7 linked regions of the Coturnix japonica genome follow. The protein of the gene in region 2 interacts with the protein of the main gene of each other region in a pairwise test. Links are inferred from orthologs where the notes say so. Each region holds a gene or a part of one and is shown on either strand. Other genes may lie near its edges. The genes, in order: MYOT, TRIM63, PKM, TNNI2, PDHB, USP13 and MYBPC3.

Region 1 (3,979 bases), on a different chromosome or scaffold from region 2:
ATACCATTAATGAAACATTTTCCCCCAAATCAAAATAAACTGTTCAAAGTAAGCCCAACAAACCCACAGGGCAGCCCATGACTTGACTGCCATGCAGTTTAACCCTCAGTTACTCCCACAGACGCTGAGGGCAAGCTCTCAGCCTCCTAACTTGGCTCATTCTGCTCATGCAAAGCCCTGCCTTGCACATCAGAAGTCAGTGGGAGTTGTCCCATTGGCTTCACCACAGATCTGGATCAGTCAGTACATGGGAGAGGCCAGGCCAGACAAAAGCAAGGGGAGGTTAGAAGCCTGTGTATACTTACTGAGGTTCCATAGGAGGAGTTTGGCTGTTATAATCAGGCTGCGAGGGTAGCACTGAGCATAGGAATGCTGCGGGGGTTTGGTTAGGCATGGATATAAGCCGTTGCCCAGATGATGAGCTAGCAGGAGACTGCGCAGATGCAGGTGTGACGGGATATGTGGATTCCTTAGGGGCACTACAGGAAGGCGAGGAGAGCGTGATTGAAGAGCTCAGCGATGACGAGGAGGAGAATTTCTGCCCGCTAGGGTTACGAGGCTGGATTAGAATGGAGGACTGTTTGATCTGCCTGCTTGACTCTGTAGATGTTGAGGATCCTGGAGGCTGCTGTTGCCCTTGACACACATTCTTAGACTGGATAAAATGTTTTGGACGTTCGTAGTTAAACATGGTTGGTTGGCACATAGAGGAAACGGATGGGAGGTTATGGACACTCATAGGAGAACTTTCACGACTGTCCTGGGTTTTGGTTGGTGACAACTGGCTTTGGGTGGGTGGCTGGTAAAAACTAGGTGGCAGGCCACAAAAGCTTTCTTGGCTGGGCTCCTGAATAGAGTGGAACCCTGGCCTTGCAGGATAGAGGCTTTCTTGGAGTGGATTTTCCCTTAAGGAAGACAATACAGATAAAAGAAATGGTACATCACAATTTCAATGGCAGAAATACTGTGCTTTGAGCAGTCATTTGCAGTCCAAAGAATACGATTTTCAGGCAGTTGACAGTTTAAGCTTAAGCTTATAATAAGAAGATTTAGGATTGATTAGAATATATAGAATATATTTATAAACTATACAAACATTTCAGGTAACGAGTCACACACTCCATCAGACCCAGCTGTGGAGCTCACCACAGCTATCTTATCTGCAAGAGCCCTCTCAATTCTACAAGGAATGACAATAAGTTTACTGCGATAACCCATCACCAGTTGAACGCAGACAGCTGGAGATACGATTGCAAAGCAGAGTGATATACAGCATATCATCTTAACTACAGGTCTCTGGATCCTGCAGCTTCACACCCTGACAAAATACTGTATGTACAATTATATGCAGAATTGGTTACTTTTGCTGAGAAATTCCTTACGCTGTAGGGAAGCATGAAACAAGTTCCACTTGCTTTTCTACCTAAAAGTTAACTTTGGAAAGCAAGAATCCTGATTTCATCTCTGAGAGCTTCTTAGTTCGGAGCTTTATGTAACAAATAAAGATCTGGGACTTGGAATACTGAGGACCACACTTCTCTGTTGGAAGCCATTCCCTGAGATTTGCTGTTGTGGCCATTAACTGCTGGGATGGCGTAGCTGCAGGATGAAGTAGGGCACACCAAGCTGCTCGGGGGTCCTCCATTTATTTTGGAAGCCAACGATATCTAAATGTTGGTATCCTATCAATTCACAGCACAGGAATGTTTCATTTGAGTCAACTGAGTAAGTTTGTGAGGAATGACAACTAACTTCAGCTCCAAGATAAATTAATACCAATTCCTCCCCCTCCAAATAAATGAAAAGCTACTAATAAAAAATGAGAATGTAAATCCACACAGTTACATGTGCTGGAAAAAATTGTAATCTTGCCCCACTGAGATCAGCTGTTTAGCTGCTATATATACACAGTATATTGTATTCCTCTCATTGGAGAGCCCAAAGAGGTGAGAAATTCCTAGGGGAGGGAATCAACTGAAGACATTGCTCTTGTCTTATGAGGTTTCAAAGCTTTCATTTCCTAAAGGTAATTAAAACATTAGTAGTAAATTAACAGTAACTAAACAGGTTTCATAGTAACGATTCCCTCATTTCCCCCTGGTTGCCTTCTTGGAATTTGAAGCCAGATCAGATTTTTTGGAGCGTATCCAAACTATCTTCTCATTCACTGGTGCAGAAAACTGGTCGAATCTTGTTTTTATACTGCTTTGACATCAGTGTACAGATTCATTCTTTTTATGTACAGGCTCTGTACAGACCTTTCTTTCCTAGCACACTGCAGTTCAATAAGACACTGAGCTGCTGCCCTGCCACGCACAGATCTGCTCCTCACAGCGAGGGGTAAGTTATGTTTCCCTCCAATCATTCCACCTGGCTCTGGGTGGAAGCAGAAAAATCCAAACAGATTTGGACTTTACAAGATGACAACAAGAAGCAGTAAGAGCCACTTTGCTTTATCAGTGTTTTTTTTTTTTTTCCCCCTTCTTTGCCTTCCATATTACATTTGACACTACGGTACCTTAAAGGTACATTTCTATTTCTATCTCAGCATTACCCAGCACATTGTAACTTCCCATGCCAACTCAATAACCAGATTTGCAATAAAAAGGGCTGGAAAAAAAAAAAAAAAAGCCTTACCTACAGCCTAGAAGTTGTCACCTGGGCTTTAAGCCGTATTTTGGGAAGGGACCGTCATTCACTGACACAGACTATCATAGTAGTCCTCTGCGTAGCATTATAAGACCAGAGACTTTAATGTGGTGCCAGCAAATGACACTGCTGGACCTGCCTGTCCTCCTGCTTACACCAGTGTCAGAATAAGAGTCTCCAGCCCAGCCCTAGCTGAGGGCACTTTATTTATGGGCCAGAACCTCATTTTTTGGCAGGTGCCTGAAGTCAGCAAATCACGCTGTGGGCAGCAGTGAGACCTGCCCATGGAGCCCTCCCTAAGTCCTGCTTAGTAGTTCAGTGAAATCCCTTCTTTGCTCATTTACCACAACTAGCAGCAACTAATCGTAGTGATTAAAACTCAGTGCTGCTTTCAGGGTTGTGTACACCAGCTGTCAGGGCTAGGAAGGAAGCGGTGAGCAGCACAATGCAGCACTGCTCACAGCTGGCAGTGCCCTGTGCTTGGCACTGCTGCTCACACCACAGCACACAGTAACACTGCTGGGGGTGGAATAACCACGTGTGTCTGAAGAATCACTCCTATGCTGAATAACGCCAATTAAACAGGCTTGTTGGTGAAGAATTATTTGATGATATATTGCTGTTTGGGGCTATTATTATGCATATAAACTTGGATCAGGAGAGCCAGCCAGGCTGCTTTCACCAGATTCTGCTGGCAGATTAGGTGATTTGTGTGCCTTTAATCAAAGGCTGCACTGCTTAATTGCATCTTAAATTAGCATTATAGCATTTAAGTATCTTAGTTATAGTTTAGCAATCGTGGCCTAACATGCATACTATTGTTTAAAAAACCTCCAAGCCTTGCAAGGGTGAGTCCTCCAGCACAGCCATCTCTGAGTTAACCTGCGTGAGGGTTTGTATTTAAGCATCAGCTCACCATTTGTGGACAATATCTACAAGCAGGTGTTGATTGAGTGATAATTTCTTTCATTTCCTTCTGGTGAAAGGCAGAGAAGGAAGGAGTGTGGCCTTGGTTGTTGCTGTTTTAGTCAAAACAGAACTGTGGTTTGTACAGAGAGAGTTGATTGCTTTAAAAATTAAACAGAAGAGGATAAGTGTGGCAGGAAGGCTTGTTCAGCAGGAAGCTGGGAGCAGCTGAAGGCCAGTTCTGTGTGCAGATGGGCTTTCTGCCTTCCCATGGGCTTCAGTGAGGGTGCAAACTAAAGTGGGCTGCAAGGCTTCTGTTTGAGGACAGCTTTGTGCTTAAATGGCTGCACACAGCTGGCATGACTTGTGTGAGGGAGAAGGAACAGAAGTGTGTGAGATCCAGAAGGTAGGAAAGAAACATGGA
Region 2 (4,109 bases):
GCCGCCGCCGCCCGGCCGCCATCATAGGGACCGACCCCCCGAAGGCCACGCCCACTGACGCACCGCATTCTGATTGGCTGCGTGTATGTAGGCATTGGTGCTTATCTATTTCTTCTTTATCTATTTCCTCTTTATCTCTTTTTTATTTATCTCTTTTTTCGTTGCTTGGGGTGGGACAGCAAGCGAGCCTAGCTCCTCTGCTTCACTTTATCTGCGTGTCAGCGGCGCAGCTTTGCAATGACAGCCCCTTACCTATCCCTCTATTCGCCTATTTATTTACCCATCTATTTCTTCACCCATTTATTCACCTGCCCCATCATTGGCAGCGTCTCTGGGCTCCCCCGCTGTCCTCAATGGCAGCAGGGAGCAGATGGAGGTTGTGTTTACAGCGCTCGGGTTGGTTGGTTGGCAGCCGTGCCTGCATTGCTCGGAGCCAACTGGGGGTTGAGGAGGAGCCATTGGGGGCTGGGAAACCGAATGGGGCGTTCCAGCTCATCCTCTTGTGGGAATCCCCTTCATAAAGTCCAGCAGTGATGAGTTCAGTGGGCAGGGCCAGCAATGGGACAGGTGTGCATCCGGTCCCCCCCCCATTCCCTCCCTTACGGTGTGTATCTCAATGTACAAACCTCCTTGGAAGGTCTCCCAGTGCCAAAAAGGGGACAATGTTGCAAGATGTGCTTGGCTGGCTTCTGTGCTGTCACTTGGTTGACATGTGAGAGCCTTCCTGGAAGGAGCGTCTGGAACAGTCACAGGCTGCCCATGTCTGGGGGGTTCATCTGGGACAATATTAGAGCCCCTATAGCGTGCACCCACTGTGCTGTGTCCCTATGCATAAGTGTACTCATACAGCTGTGCACCCACGTATCCATGTGGTCATGCACCCATCTATCTGTGCACCCCTGTACCCTTTGTGCACCCAAGTAACCTCATTTACCCCTGTACTTGCATACTCATGCATCAATGTGCACCCATGCACCTGTGCACTCCTACAGCCCTCTATACAGATACCCCTGCTCCCATGTACCCATGCACTTGTGCCTCTGTGTGCCCATGGCTTTGTGCACCCACCACCCACTTACCGCAGCATCTCAGCACCCATCCCTTTGGCCACTTGCAGCACCTCCTACCCATTGGGCTCTATGGGGAACAGAGAAGCCACCTCACCCAACCCCGTCCTGTGACCCACAGCAGAGGTGTTATAATTATCCTCTCCCCTGCAGCTGCCAATATTTACAGGTCTCCCTGTGCACCGGCGCTGGGATTTGGAAGAACACCGTGTTTACTGGTGTGCCAGCTGACAGCCAGGCAATGTGATCAGGGCGGCTCCCAGCTGGGAGCAGTCTGGAGGGGCCACACTCCTGTTTTCCTGTTGATGTTTCTGGGTCAGGTTTTGCAAACAAGTGCAGGGCACAGCCGGGCATGTGGGATGTGCAGCATGGTGCTGCTGTGCTTGGGAACCCCCTTGCAGGCTGCTATATGGATTTTTGGGGTGCAGAGAAGCATGAGGAAGAGAGGGTGCACGCACCAAGCACATTTGCTGTATCCCCCAGGTGCTGCAGTTCAGCTAAAAAGCCATCAGCTGCCCTGCAGGTGCCTTTCACCCCACAAGAAGTTGCATTTTGAGGGTGCAAAGGGCAATGCAAACCCCCAGCCCGGTGCTTTTTCATCCTGACTCCCCAGCAGCATCGACCCCCCCCCAGTCTCTCGGTGTTCCCCAGCAGGGCCATACGGACAGCATGTCCCCAGCATGTCCCCAGCTTGTTTACTGCGGCCGCGCGCCTCGATTGTCACCGCCATGTGACAGCTGATACCTTCGGACAGCCGAGCCGACTCCACGTGATTGCTGGGCTATGGATAAAAGCTGCACGAGGGGCTCCGGCTCCAGAACTGAGATTGCTCTGAGGAGGAGCAGCAGTGCCGTACCAATGGATTTCCAGCCCAGCATCCTACGTGATGGCAGCCCCATGGAGAGCCTGGAGAAGCAGCTACTGTGCCCCATCTGCCTGGAGATGTTCAGCAAGCCTGTGGTGATCCTGCCCTGCCAGCATAACCTCTGCCGCAAGTGTGCCAACGACATCTTCCAGGTGAGATGAGGACCCCCCTGGACGTTGCCCTGCTCTGGGATGCTCTGCAGGGGCACCTGGGGACACCCCGATGTCCTTGTCCCCCTCCAGGCTGCCAACCCATACTGGCAGAGCCGGGGCAGCAGCATCATCTCAGGGGGCCGGTTCCGCTGCCCTACGTGTCGCCATGAGGTCCTGCTGGACCGCCACGGTGTCTACGGGCTGCAGAGGAACCTGCTGGTGGAGAACATCATCGACATCTACAAGCAGGAGTTCTCCAGGTTGGTCCTATGGGGACACAGGGGCAGCCACATCATTTTTGGGGGGGCGAGGAACCAGGGAGGCTGGCTTGGTGCTCCCCTCCCCACCTTTCCCTAACCCAAATCTCCACCTCACAATTGAGATCTCCATTCTCAACTCGAATCTTCACCCCCAACACAAATCTCCATCTCCCAGCCCAAACCTCCCTCCCAGCCTGTGCTGTTCTAGTCTGCGGTTGCTCTGTGGGGACAGGGGGACCCTAAGGGGGTGGCAGAAGAACGAATCCAGCCCCCATCCTGGCACCCTGCAGCTTTGGCTTTATGTTGAAGATAAGGGGTGTGAGGGACAAATCCAGGCTCTGCTTGTGACAGCAGGGAATGATAAGGGACAGGGGGACAGCCTGAGGGGTCTGACAGCATTACTTAGTGGCAGAGGTGCAGCAGGAGGGGGACAAACAGGGGGGTGATGTTTTTTAAAGGACCCAGACATGTGAGTTCATCTCCCCATTCTCCTGCCCCACTGTAAATATTGTTCCAGCTCCATGGGAACAGGGATGGAAGGCACGTGGCAGGTGGCAGCAGCCCCCGGGGGGGAGCTGGCGAACCCCCCAGTGGTGACTCAATGGCTGTCACCCCCCTGAGCTCCCTGGAGCCCCTGCCCGGGTCACGCGTTGGATGATAATAATAAATGCCAGCAGCACTCAGCTAAAATTAGGAGCTTGTGTAGCATCCCTGGAGCGTGGCCCCAACTGCTGCCATGCCTGATGACACACTGCTACAAACTGGGCTTACTGGGCATGCAGGAGGATAAGGCCAGGATCCGGTTATGGGGCAGTAGTTCTGCATTGGGTGGGGAGGTCACTGCTGTGGGGACGTCACCATGATGGGGACATGACGTCAATATGGTGGGGATGTCATTGTGCTGGGGATGTCATTGTGGTTGGGCTGCTCTCTCCAGCAGGCCGCTCAAGAAGGGGGAGCACCCCATGTGCAAGGATCATGAGGATGAGAGGATCAACATCTACTGCGTCACCTGCGAGGTCCCCACCTGCTCCATGTGCAAGGTCTTCGGTGCTCACAAGGACTGCGAAGTCGCCCCTCTGCAGAGCATCTTCCAGGGCCAGAAGGTGCAACATGGGGGGACATGGGGCCACAGTGGGGAATGGCCAGATCTGGGCGATGTGCTGAGCTAGGGTGGCTGCAAATAGCATTGGGATGCCTCATGGGGTATTAATAGGCAGCAGGCTGACTTTGACCAGGAGACAGGCCTATATTTAGTGCGATGCCCCCCCCTCTCAGCCTGTGGGATGGGGGCTGGATCGTGATACCCTGGCAGCACCCATCTGTGCCCTGCAGGGGTTAAAGCTGCTTCTGTCCATCTGTCCCTTCCCAGAGCGAGCTGAACAACTGCATTTCCATGCTAGTAGCGGGGAACGACCGCATCCAGACCATCATTTCCCAGCTGGAAGATTCCTGCCGCAGCACTGAGGTGAGGGACATGGAAACATCCCCCCAGAAACCAAGTGCTGGGGGAGGCAGCCCCTGAGCAGAGGACACAGGGGCTGGAAGGACACATCTTTGTCCCCATAGGAGAACAGCGAGGCGGCCAAGCAAGAGCTCTGCTCACGTTTTGATGCGTTTATGGCTCTGCTGGAGGAGAAGAAGACGGAGCTACTGGGACGCATCACCCGTGAGCAGGAGGACAAGACAGGCTTTGTGCAGGGCCTCATCCACAAGTACAAGGAGCAGCTGGAGAAGTCCAGCCGGCTGGTGGAGACGGCCATCC
Region 3 (4,217 bases), on a different chromosome or scaffold from region 2:
GGGAAGGTCCCAACCCCATGAGAAAGCTGAAGTGAAACACTGATGTGTGCTGCAATGGGAGCACACCCGGCTGGGAATTCTGTCCTCAATCAGCAACGCAACTAAAACCTGCCTGTCCTCTCCTGCATTTACAGCCAGGTGAGACAGGACTTTGTGCCTGTGCAAGGCTCAGCTTTTCGCATGCTGCTGCCACCAGCTTCAGTGCATTGCTCCCCAAGGTGTGGGGGGCTGCTCACCCTCGGCACACTGCGCCATGCAGGGACACACTCCCATCTGGCACATGAACAAAGCTCACCATTTTTTTCCCCACGCTGCACCTCCATCTGCACAGGGCATTAATAAACCAGCAGCTCCTCTAAAGCTGAGCAGAAGGGAGCAGTGTGAGCACGGAGGTCCCTGAGCAGCCGCTCCCCCCTCCTACGTGCAGATCCTCTCGCAGGCAGCCCTGACTCACCATCACCTCATCGACGCATGAAATGGAGCGCAAAGATGGGCCAGCAGAAACCATAATTTGTCCTGGCAGGCGGCCTTTACCTCAGCCCTGCCAGAAGCTGCTGATTCACTTCAGTCAGTACAAGAAAGCCTGCCCACATAAAAGCCTCAACAAAGGCGTTTTATTACAGGGATGCCCGCTGCTCAGACCTGAACACTGTGTTTCAGCCTTCTAACATCTGCTGGTGCATCCTGGAGCACCTGCTGGACAGGACAAAGGGCCTCTGCCAGGAAACTGCCTCTGCAAACAGCAGCAGAAAGAGCCTGTGTGACTGCGGGGAATAGTGGCTGTAGGGAATAGGGCTGGGGAGAACAGAGCACTGAGTGCAGCTCATACAGGAGCACAGCCGCCCTGCTTTGGAGGCGGCTTCCTCCTTGTGGAAACTCCCCACCCACTGAAGTCATTTGTAAGTGTGATTTTCAAGCCCCGAAGGCTTTGCAATAGTCTAAGAAGGGAGGAGAGTTAAATTGCTTGGAGTCAGAATCCCCTGAGATTTTGCAGCCACGCAGTGACCTTGTATGGGGAGGACAGAAGAAACACGGCACCAGAATAAAAACCCAGCCACCATCTGCAGGGCTGCAGGGAGCCCCACGTTCCTCTGCTTCCTCCTGCATTCCAATTGCAAGGATGGATGCTCCAAGGGGCTGTTTTATAACCCCAAGAGGAACGTCTGGCATTTCCCACTTTTTGTCTTTTAAGAAACACCTGCAGGCACAGTGAGCTGAGCTGGGAAGGGGGTGGGGAGTAATACCTCGCAAAGCCTGATTCCCTGCACAAAGCAGCTTTCCTTTCTCGGGGCGTAACTCTTAAATCCCTCCAGGTATCACCCCATTCCAGGCAGGGCACGCTCAAAATGGCCGATGCCTCCCCGGCCGCTGAACATTCCAGAAGGGCCGGACCGTTGGAGGGCAGCGGGCCGAGCAGCGGGGTGACTCAGTGACTTACGGAACGTCCGGCTGCGGCATCCCAGCCGTGCCCGGGGCACGACGGAGGCTCAGCCCCACCGCCATCCCCACCCCACGGCCACGCAGCCGGGCTCCCAGCACGCCGCCAACACGGCGGGCCCCCCGGCAGGGAGGGGGGGATGACTCGTACTGCGGGAGGTTTCGCCGCATCCTTATGCAACTGCAAGATGGCCTCCAAGGCAGCCCTCGTGGGGACGGCCGGGACGGGACGCCGAGCCACAAGGCGGAGGATGAGCTTTGGGCATCGCGCTGCTGTGCTGCGGCTGCCCTTCCTAGAGGACAAGGGCACGGGGCAGGCTCAAGCGAAGCCTGTTTAATCAGAAGGGAAGAAGCGCGGGCGACGAACTTATGGCGTGGAGCTTATGCCCCTTATGCCCCGCGCAGCTCACACCCCCCAGTGCCGCCCATGCCGTACGTGCCGACCCGCACCGCGCGGCGCCGCCCCCTCCCCCCGCACACGGCAGCACGTGGTGGCGGCGCTCGGCCGAGCCCGTTCGTTCCTCCGCCTCCCGCAACCGTCCGACGGCGGCTCGGGAGCGGGCCGAGCGCTCACGGCGGCGGTTTCGGGCCGGCGTCGGAGGGCGGTTCCCCAGTTCTAACACCCCCCCGCCATCCCCTCCCGTTCCAGTGCCGTCCCTGGGGCAGGACGATGCCCGAACCCGGCCCCGCGCTCCCACCCGCTCCCCGAGCAGCGCTGCGCCTTAACGGAGCGGCACCGAGCGGGCTCCGCACGCCGCCCCCCGCCAACGAAAGCGCCGTAGCCCCATTCACGGCCCCCGAGCGCCTCAAAGGCCGCAGCGGGGCGGAGGGAGCGGGCAGGCGGCTACAGGGGGACGGATGGGAGCACGGGGCTGGGAGAGCGGGGAGCCTCGGCAAGAGCCGAGCGGGGACACGGCACGTGGCCGCGGCACCGACGGCTGAGTCAGGGCGGGCGGGCGGAGCGCTGGGGGCACACACGCACCTACATACACACACACCTACACACACGCACCTACATACACACACACCTACACACACACACACCTACACACACACACACCTACACACACACACATCCATCCATCCATCCATCCCTCCGCCGCCGCTACCCCAGCCGCGTGGAGCCGCCCTTCCCCTCAGCGCCCCCTCGGCGTCTCATCGCCCTGCCCTGAGCTTAACACTCCCGCTTGAACGCCGGGTCCGGCGACGATGACGGCGGCCTCGGCTACCCGCCCTCCTTCAACGCCCTCCCTGTGGGAGCCGGAGGCCGCCGTTACCTCCTGGTGCTGCCGCGGCTGTGCCCGGACGCGTCCTCTACGAGCCCCTCCGCCGCTCTGCACGCCGCCCCGCCGCAAAGCCAAGGTGATCCCGGCCGAAGCACCGCCCCGCGGATCCCTCCGCCCACTGCGCAACGGGGCGAACGGCCGGGACTCCTTTTTTCGGCGGACGCGCAAGCTGCGGAGGAAGCGCTTTAACTCTCACGCACCGCGCAGCCAATCAGAGGGCGGCAAGCGCAGCCGGAGAGCACGCGGGGGAAGAGTGGCTGCGGCCTTAAAGGGACCGCGCTGCTCTTAAAGGGGCCGCGCTGCTCTTAAAGGGGCCGCGCTGCTCTTAATGGCTCCGCTCCCCTCGGCTCTCCCACCCGAGCCCCTTGCCCACGGTACCTGCAGGGATGCCGGACCGCCGAGGGACGCCGTGAAGTGGCTCCTGCTGGCCTCTGAGCCACCCCGCGATGTCCCCCATGTGTCAATGGGGTTTTCCCCGAATCTAGGGGACAAAACAGGTGTCCCAGTGAGAAAAGGTCATTGCACCCATGTGGCTTCGTCACACATAGCCCCCCAACGCGGTGACACCCACAGAAGATGGGGTGCAGGGGGAAACGTGCCATCCCCCTGCTGCCAGCTCTGAGGTCTGGGGACAGAAATAGACACTTGGGGACAAAAATAGGTATCTCGAGTTACAGAGCTGGCCTGGGCACCCGAACTTGTCAGCAGCCATCGAGTTGGTGTCCCCATGGTTCTGATTGGTGTGGGGTGTCCCCAGGTCATCCCAAAAAAGGGAGAGAAAGGCAGGGACATGAGAACACTGTGCTGGATCTATGGGTACATGGTGCCAGCAATGGGGGGACCCTGTGCTGGGACCATAGGGACACTGCTGGGACCATGGAGGACCCTACCTGGATGTTCTGCATTGGGATCATCAGGACATTGTGCAGGGGACAGTGTGCCAGCACCACAAGTAGGGGCTCTGTTCTGAGGTCCTCTTGGGGTCCTTGTGACAGTAATGTAGCACCCAAAGTGGGCACCCAGTGCCACAGCCATGGGGACACTGTGCTGGTGACACTAAGTGGAGACCATGGGGACCAAGTGTGGGGCCAGAGAGAGTGGGGGCAACCATGAAGAAACAGGGGAACCTGTAGGAACCCAGTGTGAGGCCAGGGGAACTGTGGGCACCCAGCATGAGGCCATGAGCACCAAGGGGGACCATGGAAACTGTGCTAAGGACATTTGGGGACACTAAGCAGAGACCATGGGGCATCCAGTGTGAGGCCAAGGGGACTCAACATGGGGCCATAGGGACCGTGAGGGACCATAGGGTTCCTATGCTGGGGGCACTGAGTGGTGACCACAGGGATCTAATGGGAGGGTACAAGGACCTATGGGGAACCAACGTGGAGCCATAGAGACCATGAGGAACTGAGGGACCACAGGGACCGTGTGCTGGGGTCAATGAGAGAGAAGTGCAGACACCCAATGTGAGGCCATGGGGACCGAATGTGG
Region 4 (4,300 bases), on a different chromosome or scaffold from region 2:
TTTCCCTCTTCTCACTGGGTTTCTTCCTCATTCTGGATCTGGGGCCTCTTTCTTTTTTTTTTGGAGGACTGCTGCCCTGTGGTTTAACCTCTTTGCAAGGCAGCTCCAGGGAAATTTCTTTGCAGACAGAGAGATTCAGCCTTTTGCTCACCCTATTACCACATCTCACCCTCTAGGACTCCTGTATCTTACAAACAAATCTGTTAACCAACAATTGATTCGTGGGACTTTTCTTTGTGTTCCTTCAACCCACTCTCTGCACTGACCTGAAGCAATGAAGTGAAAGAAAAGCTGCTATCTAGAGGACTTGGTGGGACAGTGGTGCATGTAGTTCTGTAGAGAGCTGGAGAAAATGACTGGAGAATCTTTGGAAAGGGTAATAAAGAGCTGAGTTGAACTTTAGAGTCAAATATGGCCCATGTGGTACTGGAGGAAAAGTGAAGTGGCTGAACTTCTCAGTGGGTGAATGCTGCTCCTGGCTGCGGAGGGTGGCTGCTGTCTGTTTCTGGATGTACTTACTTTAGTCTCTATTCTTTATTTTTCTGGGAAACTGGCTTGAGCTGGGAGAGGCGGGCAACTTAGGAGGATCTGCAGGGTGATGTCTCTCGTCTACAGGCCATGAAGTGGCACCAAGAGTCCTGATGTAGCATGGTTGTGGTGATTTCACTACTCAAACCATCTTGCTCTCAACATTTCAGCATGGATAATCCTGAGCAGACCCAGCCTTACCCACACAAGACACCAGTCCCATCTCAAGCTCTTAGTCTTCCTTTACAGTATCTGCAGTGCTGTGTGCATGATGCTATAGGAAGTCTGCAGCGGCTTGTTTGCTGTTATCTGTGACTTCCAAGAGAAAAATTTGTTGCAGCTACATCTGAATCAGCTTAAAACCCTTTGGATAGCAGGGGAGGGAGTGCCTGGGCTGTGGGAGGAAGACAAGAGCTGTTTGGGCTCTTGTCTCCATGGGATCCCCTACATACACATGCTACATCTGCTGTGGATAGGGCTGGTGAATATTTCCAGTGTCATTTCCATCTGCCTCTTGCTTGTGCTGTGGGTATGTGGTTCTGGGGTGCACTGCAGCAGCTTTGGGGTTGCCTCACATACCCAGCAGCGGCTCCATAGCTTTGAGTAGTTTTGCTTTTTTTTCTTAATAAAAATTTAACATCTGGTGTTAAAATATTTCACATGGGGACGACCAGCAAATATTTTCCTGTGTGTTAACTGAGGTTAAAAGAAGATGCTAGCTCTGAATGACTTGCTCAGGAATGGCTCTCCTACGTGCTGCCAGTGGCTGAATGTTGGTGGGATGATGCATATGCTGCAGGCTCCTTCCAGCCAGTGTTCCCCAAGGGCAGAGCTGCTCCTCTCCTGTGGAGCTGCCTGGCCTGCCCCAGCCAAGGGAGGTGCATGGGGGCTCTTGCACACCATTGGTCTGAGAAGGTCTCCATGCCCTTAAAGAGAAGGTGGATTTTCTGCTGAGCCACCCGAGAAGCCCTTTTATACCTCCTTCCCCGGCCAGCTGCTTGCGGCTTGCCAGTCAGTCCTGGCCAGCCAGCGGGGCTCTCTGTTCCTTCTCCGGACTCGGGTGAGCCCTTATGCATGTCTCTTACTGACCAGCTTGTTCTTACCGGGGTGGCAGGGAGGCACGTTTGCTCACCTGAATGTTGGGGAGGTAAATGCTGGGTGATGTAATCTGCTTGGAGCAATGCGGGTGCTGATAAATCCACCTCTGTCCTGTGCTGGTCAGAGGGTCTGTGCATCGGGAGCTCTGTCTCTCCCAGCTGCCTTCTTTCCCTTTAGTTTCATCCTCACTTGGTTTTGCGCTCTGCCTTAGTCTCCCTAACTCCTCCCTAGTAGGAAAAAGCATCCCCTGCTGTGGCAACTTGCAGTTCTCCCCATCTGCACCCCTCCCTCTGCCTGCTGCGTGTAGCCGCTTCCTCCCCAAATTGCCCCTCAGCACCTGAGTTTCCATAACTCAAGGGCTGGAGTCCCTGTTACTGACTATACCCTGCTATGGGGTTTTTCTGGCATTGCTTCCCCACGCCCTTTGCGCTTTCAATGGATATGGGAATGCCAGCAAAAATAGCTCCTGCTCCTCATCCACCTGTGGTGGCTTTTGCCTCGCGTCGCCCCAACCTCCCTGAGTCACGGGGCCTGGCTGCGTCTGAGGAGACAGCTGCAGCTCCTTGTGCAGCTCCCCAGCCATTTTTAGAAGCACTTTCCCCCCCCACCCCCTTGCTCTTCCCAGCAATGTGTTGTGCCTGCACATTTTCCAGGATAAGGTTTCCTCAGGGAGCTTGGCCCTGCAGCCTTTACCTCCTCCTCAGGAAACAACCCTGTTAACATTTTGCCTCCTAGGTCTGCAGATTGCTGTCTATTAGGGGGTTCACTTCTCTGTAAGGGAATGGCTTCATTTGGGCTTGGCCTGTGCTCCTGCTGTACCCACTGATGGGTATGAGCAGGAAACACTGCTCTAATAAGTAAAGCTGCATTTACAGGGAAGAACTGGCACTGAAAGGTACCTTTCCCTGAGAAATCTCTCCATGCCTTTGCCAACTCAGCAATAGCTTTCAGCACCATGCTTCATTATCTGTGCTGAGCTTTCTCCCCTGCCCCATGCAATGTACACACATTCTGGCAATCCTTGTCACCTATGGTCACTGCCTGGCTCTGTTCCTTATGCCAGAAGCCTCCCCAGTCTTTGAGATTATTCTTGTCCGTGACTCTGTCAGTGCAGTTTTCCCCCTTTGGAAGGCAACAAGACTGAAGCCTAGAGTATTTGTGTTGAGTTTGCTACAGGCCTATACTATGAGGACTGTGTGAAAGCACTACAGAGGTGAAGTAGCTTTTTTCTTCCTTCTTACTACATCATGTAAAGTGGTATATCGTCCAGTCAAGGAAAAGACAAGCCTATAGGCAGTACTGTCACAATCTCTCTTTTTCCAGCCATGCACCTCTTGTCCTGGTGCACATGTGGCTGTGAGCTGGCACATGTTTGCCTTTCATCCACAGAATGCAGCCCAGTTTCCTCTGTGATGGAAATTTGAAGAAGTTGGGAAATATGAGCAAAGCCGTTGTTCCTCTTTTTGGTGTCTAGGGGAATCATGCTTTGTTCTTAAACCCAAGAAAGCCAGTGCTACCATGAATAATTGAGAATTATTTTGGTTCTTGTTGCAGGTTCGTAACCATCTAAAGCAAGATGTCTGAGTAAGTTCCTATTTTCTGTTTCCAGTATGTTGCTGGTGTTCAAACTTTTGTTCAGCTGCCAGCTTTTACATACATACTCTTCTGCTTGTTTCCAATGAGGATGCTAACTGCTTTTTTCTCCTCTTTCTCTTCCTTCCCTTCCTTGCCCATCCGCTCTCCCTGCACAGTGAAGAGGTAAGTGTGTCCTGCTGGGCTTTTCCCTTTAGCAGAGCTCATAGCATCGATCCTCGCTTTGTAGGAAAAGCAGTTATGGCGTGGTGGGAAGAAGGAATGTCCCATGGTCTAGCTTTCCTGATGCCTTCTCGAGAAGAAGGGAAGGACGAGCAAAATTTGAAGGGTCTGCTGGCAGTTGGATGCTTTCCCCCTTTCCTGCTTCCCTAGCCGGCCACGAGGTGGTGCTGAGAAGCGCTGCCCGAACAACTCCAGGACCACATCTCAATTGCCAGCAGCGGGGATGCAAAAAATCCCACCTATGGTGCTGATGCTCAATGGGTGCATTGAGTGCCCTCTAGCCCGGTGACGCAGGGAAGGCTAGGAAAGCAACCTGAGACAAAGCAGCACTTTTCAGAAGGAGAACAAGCCATGGGCTTGGAGTCCTCGAGGAATCTGAACAAGATTCCTCTGGTTAATGGTGCATGATATGTCTAAGCTAGACAAAGATGAAGCTGGTTTGGGGACCAAATGTGTGACAAGCTGTGGGATTGTGTGGTGAAGAGGAAAAGATGAAGGAATCCATCATAACTTACCTTGTTCTCATTTTTCCCACCTGCAGAAAAAGAGGAGGGCAGCCACCGCCCGGCGGCAGCACCTGAAGGTACGTGGCACTGCTGGGGCTGGGCGAGGTGTGTCCTGATCATCCCATCTCCCACCCAGCAGTTGACACTCTCCTGCCTGGGAAAGGCCATGATGCACAATGTGGAGTTCCCTATACCCTTCTCTGCACCTTACCAGGTCACGCAGTAAGACTCTGGTGCGGGGGTAGGCTGGGGTCAGCATCATCCTGAGCTTCCCATAAGTCCCCATGAGTCCCCTTTGCTCAGAGCTGCTGGTATTTTGGACATGGAGAGCTCCCATCTTCTCCTTTGCCCCG
Region 5 (4,014 bases), on a different chromosome or scaffold from region 2:
TGCTGTTTGGGCACTGTGTCCTTTAGCACTTCAATCTATTCTGACTTTGACAAGAAGACTTAATGAAATTACTTCTTATCCTGACAGATGCTTCAGAATGGCTTTTGGTGGCTCATCAAGCATGGAAAATGCTTAATGAGTCTCACTGTATATAATCATGCTGCTACATACTGTCATTGTTCTGCTCATTGTACAGGCAGATCAATCTGAAAGTCTCTGGTAGTTCTGACTTGATTTTGTGATGAAAAGGTCAAACGCAGAAACAAGAAATGCACATACTCTGGCAGTTAAGGCACTTACAAAAGCTTGGAGTTTATAAAGTGATGTTCTACAGAGCCTGAACAAGGTGACCCTCTGCCTTTTTCCTTGTACAGAGAAAAGCAACAGAAACCCCACACACCTCACACTCAACACCTTCTTTGGCCAGGATAGAAGCTGCTTCCAAACAGTGCCCAACAGGCCTAGAGTGCGCCACTAATGTAACATGAGTTCCTGGAACAGAAACAAGTTTTAAAGAAGAAACAAATGCAGAAAAAAAAAAACCCACCACACACACAAAAAAGCATTTTTCTTGGGCTCTTTTGTAGGTAGCATCAGTATTCTCATGCAAATTTAAGTTCCTTACATCTACATGAAATGTTAAGTATTTCTATACCTGTGAAGAATGGCAGCAGGACTATGTGAGGATAATCTTTTGATTCAGGGATCTAAATAATGTTTTCAATACTTTTCGGATTATTTTTTTTTTTACGCTTTCATGCTATTCATTGGTAAATTATAAACAGGCTGAAAAATTACAATGATATCTTCTGCATTTTGGACAAAAATGACATAGTAAGGTGAGAACTTCCCTGCACATCACCAACACCATCCTTAGGCTGAGAAAGAAACCTTCTAGGGAGGTACAGTTTTAAGTGAGAAACTGAGAACAAACAATTGAGTACAATACAGGATAAATCATATTTGAGTATTTAACAATTTAAATGTGTTCCTGTGCCCCATGATAGCAGTATTTTGAACAGCTAAGAGTCCCCAGGCAGCTTGGTTAGTAAGGATACATACAGGTACATACACTGTGTTCTCAGCTTACCTTCCCTTTCTATTTTGGCCTTTCCAATTGGAATAACAAAGTCCTTTGACTGTGCCTGTTCTGACATCTCAAAGGGAACGCCGTACAGCAATTCACTTTCCAGCACCACAACTAGAACAAAACATACTTGGATTAATTCATACCTCTGCAGGAACAGGCTGTACTTATCATTAACGGTACCGCAGAAGAATATTTGCAAGACCAATACAAACAATTAAAAGTCAATCAACTTCACTACGCAGTTAGTTTAAATACTGTCTTCAGTTCATCTCTAAAGGTAGATCAAGGGAAAACTGCAAAGGCTGTGGCTAAGAAATGTTTCTGTAGAACTGCTAGCTTCAGAAAAAGCCTTACATTTTGCACGTGTGCTTGTGAGAAAGAAAGATGAAGGTTGCCCTGATTTTGCTTAATGAGATTCTGAATTTATCATCTAAGCTTCATCAACTCTAAAAAATGAGTTACACTGTACTGTATCTGCAGGTACTTCTCCTGACTCATCTTCATCCTTTATAATGCCTTTACAATGAGTTCATAAATGTGTCTTTCAAAGCTTCTAGATGAGTACCTGCAAGCAGGTTAGAACAGCACAAAATGCTTAAGTGCTGAATAAACTTTTTATCTTTTTACATGAGGTGGGAGAGGAAAAGAAGCATTCAGAAATGAGAGTTAAATACTGCCGTCATCTGACTGTGCTCACCTGGATTATCGTCCCGGATCGATGCCTTCAGCAGCCCCTTGGCATCTTCTGAGCTCCAAGGACTGACAACCTTCAGCCCCGGGCAGTGCCCGTACCAGGCAGCGAAGCACTGCGAGTGCTGTGCGGCAACGCCAGCTGAAGCCCCGTTGGGGCCACGGAACACGATGGGGACGGCGATGGTTCCTGCAGACATGTAGCACGTCTTGGCAGCAGAGTTGATAACCTGGTCGATTGCTTGCATGGAGAAGTTGAACGTCATGAATTCACACACCGGCCTCAACCCCGCCTATCAGAGTTAGACCATACGATATGTTTTAACACCAAAGCAGCTCGTTTTGTACATCAGTTCATTAGGACTGAGGGCGTACTGACCATTGCGGCACCAACGGCGATTCCTGCGAAGCCCATCTGGAAGAGGAGCAAACAGCATTAAGCGCCACAGCTCGGCCCACGGGGAGCCCTGTGGGGGGAGCCCCGCGCCGTACCTCGGAGATGGGGGTGTCGATGATCCTCTTGTCCCCGTATTTCTTCCACAGCCCCCTGGAGATCTGAAAGGATCGGAGCGGTGTCAGCCCCCGCACAGCCCGCACTGCGGCCCCGGCAGGGCCCCCCCTCCCTCACCTTGTAGGCACCGTCGTACTGTGCCACCTCCTCGCCCAGCATGAACACACGCTCATCCCGCTCCAGCTCCTCGTCCAGCGCCTGGTTCAGCGCGTCCCGCACCGTCACCTGCGGGAAGCGGCAGCCGGGCAGTGCTGGGCAGGGCAGGGCGGCCGTCCCTCGGCTCACCCGCACCACCCCGCCCGTACGGATGAACCCCCCGCCCCAGCTCCATCCTCACGGCCCGTACCTGGATGGCGGCGGGCGCGGAGAGGTGGAAGCCTCTGCGTGGCGAGAGAAGGCGGCCTCGCGGCACCAGCAGCCGCAGCGCTCCCGCCGCCGCCGCCATCTTGGCCGTGTCCTCTATAGCACCGGGCAACGGCCCGGCCCCCGCGCTACCTCGGCCCCTGCCTGAACTCTCGCGAGAACTGGCGCTGGCAGCCAGCGCTCTTTTTATGCGTCACTTCCGGTCTCGCGCTGTGGTGGCGGTGAGGCCGTGCCGCGCTCGGTGCTGCTCGCATGGCGCCGCTCGGGGCGCGATCAACGCGGCATCGCCTCCTGCCGCCGGGACCGCACCGCCCCCACCGCCCCCCTTCATCTGTGTGCCCCTCTTCAGTGACACAACTGCCCGCCAAGGAGGCGTGGGGCGGAGCGAGGTGTCCCCACTGTCGGCCCTGAGGTGAAAGGAGGCGGCTTCCCTCCCTCACCCGAGCGGAGCGGGCGGAGACACGGGGAGGGGATCGCGGCAGAACCCGCCCCCGCTCCTCCCTCCTCGGCGGCTGCTTCGCTCCCGGTTCAGTCGCCCCCATCATCGCCGGGCTCTGCTTCAGCGCCGGGACCTGCGACTGTGAGTGTGAGGAGGGGCGGGGCCGGGCCGGGCCGGGCCGGGCTGTGCTATGCTATGCTATGCTATGCTGTGCTGTGCTGTGCTGTGCTGTGCTGTGCTGTGCTGTGCTATGCTGTGCTGTGCTGTGCTGTGCTGCTGTGGGGGGTGGGAGGGAAACACGGGGCTGTGAGCGGCCGGAGGCTGCACTGGGGGGGGGGAAACGGGGCTGGGCCCCCTGTGGGACTGCGGGTACCTGGGGCTGGGGGCTGCCGGGCCCCGTTTGGGATGTTGTGAGGCTGTACCCGGCCCTCAGTTCGAACAGGGGCTGCCCCTCGCTGCAGGAGGGCCGGGCTGGGGCCGGGAGCGGTATCCAGGCGATGGGCACTTGGGGGCAGCGGGTGGAGCGGTGCAGTCGTGTCCAGCATCCTTTGCTGAATCATTGCGATCTCAGGGGGAGATTTCCTTCCGTGCGTTCCTCTGGGATGGAAAGCGGCTGTTCCCGACTCCTCCTGTGGGCCTGGGTTTGAAGGGACGATTCTTGTCACCATCCTGCTGCTTGGTCCCTGTGTCAGCACTGTTGGCTGTGCAGGATGTGCTCCTGACACCTGCCTTCATCCAGCACTGCTGGGAGATGTTTCCCCATGCACACAGCTGCCTGCTGGTGCCATGGAACAAGATACGTGGGTAAAACCAACTACTGACACTGTGCAGAGTGACTGTGTGGTGCCAGCAGGAGCAGGGCAGGTGCAGTTGCAGTCCTTGGACTCCTGCATGAGGAGGGTCAAATGGTGATGTGGGATT
Region 6 (3,500 bases), on a different chromosome or scaffold from region 2:
AGGAAAAATAAATACGCCATCTTCAAGCCCATAATGAAACATTATATATAATTAATCTGGCAAGTCTTCACATTCTACCCTGTGCCATGTTTCACTTTCAAGCCCACACGAACATACTTTTCTTCCTTGCCATTAAATTATTCACTCTATTTAAATTGACAAAGTAAGTCACTGAAAAGCGTCACTTACATCTGAGTGTTGAAATCTTGTGTTGGATCAATTGGGGAGTAGTCAAATATTCTCGGAAGGTTTCCCACATACCTGGGCAGCAAGAACAAAGCACAAACATTCAAATACCACATGTAGATAGATACACAGTCCTCAGCAGTAACACAGCCAGAAGCCCCTTCTGTGCCAGCAAATCAGATTTTGTAGCATGCAAATAACTTCATCTAGCCCTGGTGAATACTTCTACTGCTGAAAAAGAGTAGTAAAGAAATTAGGAAGAGGATATTTAAGTTATGGCTAGAAGTTTCTAGCTAAATAGAAAAGATACCACTTTGCTGTTTATCCAGAATTTACATTCTATTCCTTGATCCTGAAACAGCTGCTAGATGGCATTGCTCAAAACCACAGTGAAACAATGCACTTCCTACTCCAGACCAACAGTGCCAAATAAATTCCTAGAGTTTTTTGTTTGTTGACTTTTAATCAGGAACAAAACACATAAAATAATGCTTGTATTGAGTTTCCTCACAGAAACAAAGGCTAATTCCTAACAACAAATGCTGAAGTATGTATTGATGTAGCCGGTTTGTTGAAAACCAAAGCACTTAGTAACATAATATCTGAGTACTACTTCACTCAAACAAGGGTGAAATAATAGGCTACCTGGGTAGAACCACACTGAAAGAACACAAACACCTAAATTCTGCCAGGACCATGTTTTGTTAAAGACTCTAAAATACTGCTCTGCATAGAAAAACAAGACATAGGGGAACCAGGCAACTAGTAGTAAGTGCTAGCTTGGAGCTACTTACGCTCGCTGGAACTCTGGGATGCTGAAAATGGCCTGCATGACAGCATTGAGGTAGCAGCTATTCCCCAGGTTCTTCATGCCGGTATATCCTGGGCCATACATGGGCTTGAGTTTCACGCCAGCTTCCTGAATCACTTCCCATTCAGAGACTCTTGGTTTTATATCATTATCTCTTAGACCGTTCTCTGTCTGAAGAGAAAAAGGGTTATTTTCTTTGCCTCTTAATTTCTGCAACTATTATACTTGTTGCTGTTATCATCACCAACTTTGTGAACTCTTCTAGAAAAGAAGAGACAGATCAATGAGAAAAGAGAGGTGAATCCCACATGCAGAGGAGGAGGTCAGGGTCAGAAGTGTAGCAGCCTGCTCATCCAATTCATCTCTCAGCTGTTTACTACAGACCACTGGCTCTTTGTATTATTCTCACCGCGCCTTCAATCTCCACTTCTGTATGGGCTGTGTCCTCAAGACTAAGAATAAATACAACACACGTTTTCAAGCTTTATTTTCCCATTTATATTGGTTGGGCAGAGCTGCTACTGTAGAACATAGTCCCAGCAAACAAATCAGATGCAAAAATGCAGCTTCAAGAACTCTATTCTTCATGCAAAAGGAAAAAGCCAAAGTCTGAGATGTTGAAGTCCCAATACCCAGCTCAGCTTTCAATTTGTAGGCACTAATCATTACACCGTCATTTACAGCTAGCGCTACTCCTCCACTTCACAGATAATCTTACAGACTGGTCTGAATACAGTAGGGGAATCCTCCACAATAGCTGAAACTATACATAAGTTCTGCAGATTTTTAAGTAAAAACAGGTTTTTCAGAAGGACCACTGGATAAGAGAAACTTTTTATTCATATATTTGTTCAATATAAGCTACAGACATTGCTCTTCTCCTGTTTCTCTCTACCCCCAACTAGAAAAGTAAACAAGAAACTAAAAAGAAGCTTGATTTCCTACCACTTGCATCTGCAGCATATCAATCCCAAAGTGTGCCAGATGCTTTGCTATATGTGGATCTAAAACCGGCTCCTCTTCATCAAAGGAATAGACATCTACAAAAGCAAAGAGAAACAGATAACATGTTGTATCAAACATTACCCCTTCTCTTTGTTGACCAACATTACATTCTCAGTACAGAAGTGCCTACACAAAATACCTTATTCATATTCTCCAGGTCTGGTTGAGACACATATAATAGCTAGACCCACACTGCTCGGTAAACATCTTAAATGTTTTCTACACGATCAACTCAACTATTCTCCTTTGAGTAAATTACACACCTTGATAGCATTAAAACATATGAAAATTTGGAGCAATTACAGTACTACACAACAACCCCCCACTGCTCTCCCCCAAAAAGTAAAGAAATATGTAGGAGAAAAGGAAGAACACAGTTGACAGGATTTGAAGGTACATATCTAATCCATGTTGTGAACAGAGCAATAATTTCTGAATTTTTTTGTGGAGCTAGAAGACAATGGCAAACACACCAAAACTATGAGCATGTAACTTGGATGGGACTTGGAAGATTAATCTTATCATGAGGGACAAAGTTTGATGTCATTATTGGGATGTCTTGCTTTACTGTATGAGAACTAAATTCTAGCGCTAAAACAGCTCCTCACGGTCCCTAAAGATTTGGAAGGGCAAAGTTCAAACTGAAGAGGGAAGCAGTACGCCTAATGATACTTTTGTTACGAAGCAAAGTTTAATAAATCCAACAAAGGGACAAAAAGGAGATAAAATCTCATTTTAATGCTTACCAAACAAGACTTTAATGAAGCAGTCTTCACCTACTTAAGCAAATAACAGTAAATCTACAGGCATGACGTAAGGATATGAGTTGTAAGACCCACTACAAAGTCTTGGACAGGTCTTGTCTTTTCTCTTCTCTGCTCTTTTCCCCCATAGTATATACTCCTCTGCTCCAGTCTCTACTCATATCAAAGCCCAGAAAGTCTCTGCCAGTACTCCTCTCAGACAAGTTTCCTTCACATCCTACAGAGTTTTCCAGTGATCTTGCCCCATGTGATCAGATCCAGGTTAAGAGAGAAATCTGAACCCTGAACCAGAAGAAATAAGAAAAATTTGGGAGGACGGAGCAAGAATCCAGACAAAGTCTGTTCACAGCACAGATACCACTTCTAAAGAGTCCTTCTGCTCTCCCCTGGCCTCAACCCATCACCTGCATAAAATTTTAACAAGATTCCTGCTTCCTTGAAGACTGCCAGTGGGAAAACCATGCTGAAATGATAGCTTGAGTGTCAGCCACTATTCTAAGATCTAAATGCAACCTATGGGTTTATCAGTCCTATGAAAAACATTAACTCTCAAACCAAGGAATGGTGTTTTTGAGTCACGCTGCTATCTGCCGTCAGCAGCCATCAGACCCTCTATTAACATTGGTTCTGATGACCCCTCTGGCATGCATGGAGCTGTAGCTGCTCATCTACTGGAATTCCACTGTGTAGTAGCAGGCATGCTCAGAGGACTTGACAGCTCATCCACATATAAC
Region 7 (3,500 bases), on a different chromosome or scaffold from region 2:
TTGCTGCGAAGGGGTGGATTATTTATAGAAAATCGTTCCCTAAATATTTTCTTAATCAGCTATCCTTTTGGCTGCAGAAGGGGCCAGGATTAAGGGAGGACTGGATGGGATACTGTGATATTTGCACCCATAAGGCAGTGGGGGAAGTTGAGAGGGTTGGGCAAATTTCTGTCAATTAGCTCTCCTCCTTTCCAGATCCAGTTTGACTCTCACACTTCTAATTATAACAACTAAATGTTCATCAGCAGTTTCATGAAACTGGAACCTCTGTGCTTTGCAGGAAGGGAAATGAGAGATGGAGAAGAGGAAGATGATAAAGGAAAAAAGCTGATTAAGTATAGAATAGCTTTTTCCTAACACATTCTTTTTTAGTGTAAGGATGGTTGAAGAGAAGAGGTGAAAATTGTTCTGTCCTCTTTTTTCCAGGAATTATCAGAGTGTGATAGAACTCACCAATTGGCATGAAGGGTTGTGAGGCAGGGCTTGGCCGGGACATGCCAATAGAATTCACAGCATAAATCCGCATCTCATAAACTACTCCTTCAATCATTCGCTTGGCTTCGTAGGTTAGCTCTTTTAAAAGGTCAAAATTCAGCCTCATCCATCGGTAGCTCTTCTTCTTCTTTCTCTCTAAAATATAGCCTGGAAGGGATATATTTTATGATATAAGAGAACTACAAACGATTGTCTTACATGCAGGAGAAAAAAAACATTTTTCTATGACATAAAGAGACAAACATTACTGCATATAACTTAATTGTGTGAAGCTCTGGTATTTTCCTTAATTTTCCTTTTTTATTACTATCCTTCAGTCTGACATTCTTATTTGAATGGTTATGCTTTCCACAACACAACTCACTTAGAATTGTCTGTCAGTTATTAGGCTTAAGTATATTTCACATGCTATACACTAATTTAGTCAATGTTTCCAGGGTTATTTAGATGTGTATGAAATAGTAAATCATTGCTGGTGAAAGGTGTGGTCATTCTATCCTGCTGTTGGAGAAATACGTGAGACTCAGGAGTTGAACAGAAAACCCTTTTCTTGAAGGAGAGATTGCCTTGAAATATATAAAACGAGTTAAAAACTAATTTATTTCATTCTTCAGCAATCTTGTATCAACAGCTTCAATTGCAATGCAAAATGTTAATAGGAAGAATATGTAATATTTCCCTTAACTTATTTCATATCTCTTTAAAAAGCAAAGTGGCAGAATTTCAGAGTGTCTGAAATTGAGTCGTATCTCGGCTTCAGCCCTACAGTGGAGTGAATCCTGGCCATGCACAGCTTCCTCTCAGCCTGTCCCCATAATAGAGGTGCTCCAGCCCTTCTCTGGACTCGCTCCAACAGATCAGTGTCAGCTGTTTCTTTATACCTAGTTACATTTAATTTCTTCTCTAGTCTGTTTACAGGTGGTGCTTGGTTGTGATGCATGTAGACTCCTTTTAAAAAGATTTTGTTTAGAAAGCTAGTGATCTTACAGGTATGGAGTGAATAATTAGGAAATATGCTGAGTAGCGATTTATACATCCTGTGTACAAATATGTATTTTATGTGGATTTCTACCTATTTCTGCAGATACTATCGTAGCTGGCCACAGTTACAGTCATTATAGGGATATATCAAATTGTGAAGATTTGTGGTTTGAGCCCCAGACCATGGTGTTCACAACGTTTATGGCTATCAAACTTGCAGGTGCTGCTTTGGTATACCTGAGAAGTATGGTTCTTACAGGGCCTGAATGGAAATGGAGAACAATAGGCATTATAGGCACAGACATCCTGAATCAGTAACCTTTCCTTTTAATATGAAATTGCAAGACAATTGAAATGATGCTTGGCTAACTTGTCAAAATATTTCTCTGATTCAAACAGCACAGGTAGGGGGCACCATCACCCTGATACTAAAGGGCCAGATTCCAAAATGGTCTGTAGGGTTGCTTTATTACCGAGTGTATGAGGTTCAGCCTTCTTAGTGTGAATGAATGTATTAAATCCTTCTGCATCGTTTTAAAGGAGCAGAGAAAATAATATATAGGTGAGACTGCTGGGGACTTTATATTTCAGTGCTTCTTACCAAGTACTGGTTGTCCACCATCATATGTAGGAGGTTGCCACTGCACAGTGCAGTAATCTTCTCCAATGTTACTGATCTTGGGAGCTTCTGGAGGGTCAGGGACATCTGAAGGAAATATCAGAATGCATGGGGGTTGTTACTGTTTCTGTTTTACAAATCAATTCGATATTTTAACATTTTTTCCCCCGTATTATAAGTCTAAATCTGAAGAAATCAGTCATCCTGAGGAATTTCCAAATAGTATTAGTGACATATATATTTTTCATCACTGTGGTGCTTTGAAAGTGATTATTGCTTTCTTTCACTTACCAATAACTTTGACTGTGATATCAGCCTTATCTTCTCCCACTGGATTCTTAACTATAACTCTGTATACTCCTTCATCCTCCTTTTCAGCTCCTTCAATGATGAAGACACAGTGGTCTTCATGTTTCTCCACACGAACTCTGCCTTCAGATTCAAATAGAACCTGTGGGCAGTGAAAGTAAAAGGGAAAATCAGTGTGACTTGTGCCCGGGACAGCCTAATGAGCCTGTATGTAAGTCAGTGAAAATTCAAAAGATATAAATAATATCAAATTCTTTTTGTATATAGAAAAAATGGAGGTGAAGTGTCTCAAACTATTTAACTGTAGGTAAGATTGAACCTAAAAGCTTTCCAGGTTGTTAGGATTCATTGCTAGTTATGCACACATGATTGCATTTCAAAGAAGTTACAAAGTACTATGAATTCCTGATTGGGATAACAGCAATGTAAAGTTTCATGGATAATAGGTGGGTAGAGTGTAAATTGAAGGTGATTTGCAAATTCTTTCAAGCATATGAGCAAACATTCTGGTTCAACAGTATCTACATCAGATAACGTGGGTTTGAACAATTTGCTTCTAAAAACGTTGCCATATTTTTTGCTACTGTCATGGTGTCAGTGTGATTTTATTTTTTTTGTCACTCGGGAATGCCATATGGGATGACTTTATGCTCTCCTCAGAGAGATGAGGTCTAAATGTAACAAGAACTTTGCTGTGCATTTATTACACTCTCCATGCTTCACACGCCCACATCTGTAGACAGTAAACAAGAAACTTTACAAAGTGTATGTGCCTATCCAGTGAATAGCACAGAAGAATCTTAAACATATAAAATATTTATATTTTTATTTATTTATATTTTATATATATATGAGGAAACCTTTTGGAAAATTCATCTTTTCACTGTATGTACATACACAGCCTATTTTCCTGAATCTGTAATATTTTCTCCTCTTATTTTACCCTCAGGATATTGTTGAAGCTTACAGTGTAGTGGGGAAAAAAAGAGGGGATAAACATTCACAAATAGATTGAAAAGAATTTTAAACAACTTAATTGATTCCTTGTAATTAAGCCACTGTGTGATGGTAATTAGAGATTTTCTTGATCAGCATC

What was found.
Region 1: the proteins of TRIM63 (region 2) and MYOT interact in a two-hybrid assay, tested with the Homo sapiens proteins (2 studies listed by BioGRID). The link is inferred for Coturnix japonica from reciprocal best matches to the Homo sapiens genes TRIM63 and MYOT.
Region 3: the proteins of TRIM63 (region 2) and PKM interact in a two-hybrid assay, tested with the Homo sapiens proteins (3 studies listed by BioGRID and IntAct). The link is inferred for Coturnix japonica from reciprocal best matches to the Homo sapiens genes TRIM63 and PKM.
Region 4: the proteins of TRIM63 (region 2) and TNNI2 interact in a two-hybrid assay, tested with the Homo sapiens proteins (2 studies listed by BioGRID and IntAct). The link is inferred for Coturnix japonica from reciprocal best matches to the Homo sapiens genes TRIM63 and TNNI2.
Region 5: the proteins of TRIM63 (region 2) and PDHB interact in a two-hybrid assay, tested with the Homo sapiens proteins (2 studies listed by BioGRID). The link is inferred for Coturnix japonica from reciprocal best matches to the Homo sapiens genes TRIM63 and PDHB.
Region 6: the proteins of TRIM63 (region 2) and USP13 interact in a two-hybrid assay, tested with the Homo sapiens proteins (2 studies listed by BioGRID and IntAct). The link is inferred for Coturnix japonica from reciprocal best matches to the Homo sapiens genes TRIM63 and USP13.
Region 7: the proteins of TRIM63 (region 2) and MYBPC3 interact in a two-hybrid assay, tested with the Homo sapiens proteins (2 studies listed by BioGRID and IntAct). The link is inferred for Coturnix japonica from reciprocal best matches to the Homo sapiens genes TRIM63 and MYBPC3.

The regions. Positions count from the first base shown.
Region 1 is NC_029528.1:3,691,056-3,695,034, reverse strand, and holds the start of MYOT (myotilin), read right to left. Parts: upstream 2,801-3,979; 5' UTR 2,638-2,800; intron 906-2,637; 5' UTR 740-905; coding exon 306-739; intron 1-305. UniProt on the Homo sapiens protein: Component of a complex of multiple actin cross-linking proteins. Involved in the control of myofibril assembly and stability at the Z lines in muscle cells.
Region 2 is NC_029538.1:2,860,550-2,864,658, forward strand, and holds the start of TRIM63 (E3 ubiquitin-protein ligase TRIM63), read left to right. Parts: upstream 1-1,309; 5' UTR 1,310-1,850; coding exon 1,851-2,084; intron 2,085-2,174; coding exon 2,175-2,344; intron 2,345-3,281; coding exon 3,282-3,450; intron 3,451-3,716; coding exon 3,717-3,812; intron 3,813-3,913; coding exon 3,914-4,109. UniProt on the Homo sapiens protein: E3 ubiquitin ligase. Mediates the ubiquitination and subsequent proteasomal degradation of CKM, GMEB1 and HIBADH.
Region 3 is NC_029525.1:982,278-986,494, forward strand, and holds the start of PKM (pyruvate kinase PKM), read right to left. Parts: upstream 2,801-4,217; 5' UTR 2,715-2,800; intron 1-2,714. UniProt on the Homo sapiens protein: Catalyzes the final rate-limiting step of glycolysis by mediating the transfer of a phosphoryl group from phosphoenolpyruvate (PEP) to ADP, generating ATP.
Region 4 is NC_029520.1:10,459,538-10,463,837, forward strand, and holds the start of TNNI2 (troponin I, fast skeletal muscle), read left to right. Parts: upstream 1-1,500; 5' UTR 1,501-1,588; intron 1,589-2,815; exon of another isoform or gene 2,816-2,839; intron 2,840-3,180; 5' UTR 3,181-3,202; coding exon 3,203-3,210; exon of another isoform or gene 3,211-3,215; intron 3,216-3,377; coding exon 3,378-3,384; intron 3,385-3,982; coding exon 3,983-4,024; intron 4,025-4,300. UniProt on the Homo sapiens protein: Troponin I is the inhibitory subunit of troponin, the thin filament regulatory complex which confers calcium-sensitivity to striated muscle actomyosin ATPase activity.
Region 5 is NC_029527.1:9,335,764-9,339,777, forward strand, and holds the start of PDHB (pyruvate dehydrogenase E1 component subunit beta, mitochondrial), read right to left. Parts: upstream 2,801-4,014; 5' UTR 2,737-2,800; coding exon 2,638-2,736; intron 2,517-2,637; coding exon 2,409-2,516; intron 2,336-2,408; coding exon 2,273-2,335; intron 2,196-2,272; coding exon 2,160-2,195; intron 2,074-2,159; coding exon 1,788-2,073; intron 1,202-1,787; coding exon 1,091-1,201; intron 493-1,090; coding exon 401-492; intron 1-400. UniProt on the Homo sapiens protein: The pyruvate dehydrogenase complex catalyzes the overall conversion of pyruvate to acetyl-CoA and CO(2), and thereby links the glycolytic pathway to the tricarboxylic cycle.
Region 6 is NC_029524.1:15,317,064-15,320,563, forward strand, and holds part of USP13 (ubiquitin carboxyl-terminal hydrolase 13), read right to left. Parts: intron 2,038-3,500; coding exon 1,943-2,037; intron 1,169-1,942; coding exon 981-1,168; intron 262-980; coding exon 190-261; intron 1-189. UniProt on the Homo sapiens protein: Deubiquitinase that mediates deubiquitination of target proteins such as BECN1, MITF, SKP2 and USP10 and is involved in various processes such as autophagy, endoplasmic reticulum-associated degradation (ERAD), cell cycle progression or DNA damage response.
Region 7 is NC_029520.1:20,541,497-20,544,996, reverse strand, and holds part of MYBPC3 (myosin-binding protein C, cardiac-type), read right to left. Parts: intron 2,547-3,500; coding exon 2,387-2,546; intron 2,183-2,386; coding exon 2,078-2,182; intron 643-2,077; coding exon 454-642; intron 1-453. UniProt on the Homo sapiens protein: Thick filament-associated protein located in the crossbridge region of vertebrate striated muscle a bands. In vitro it binds MHC, F-actin and native thin filaments, and modifies the activity of actin-activated myosin ATPase.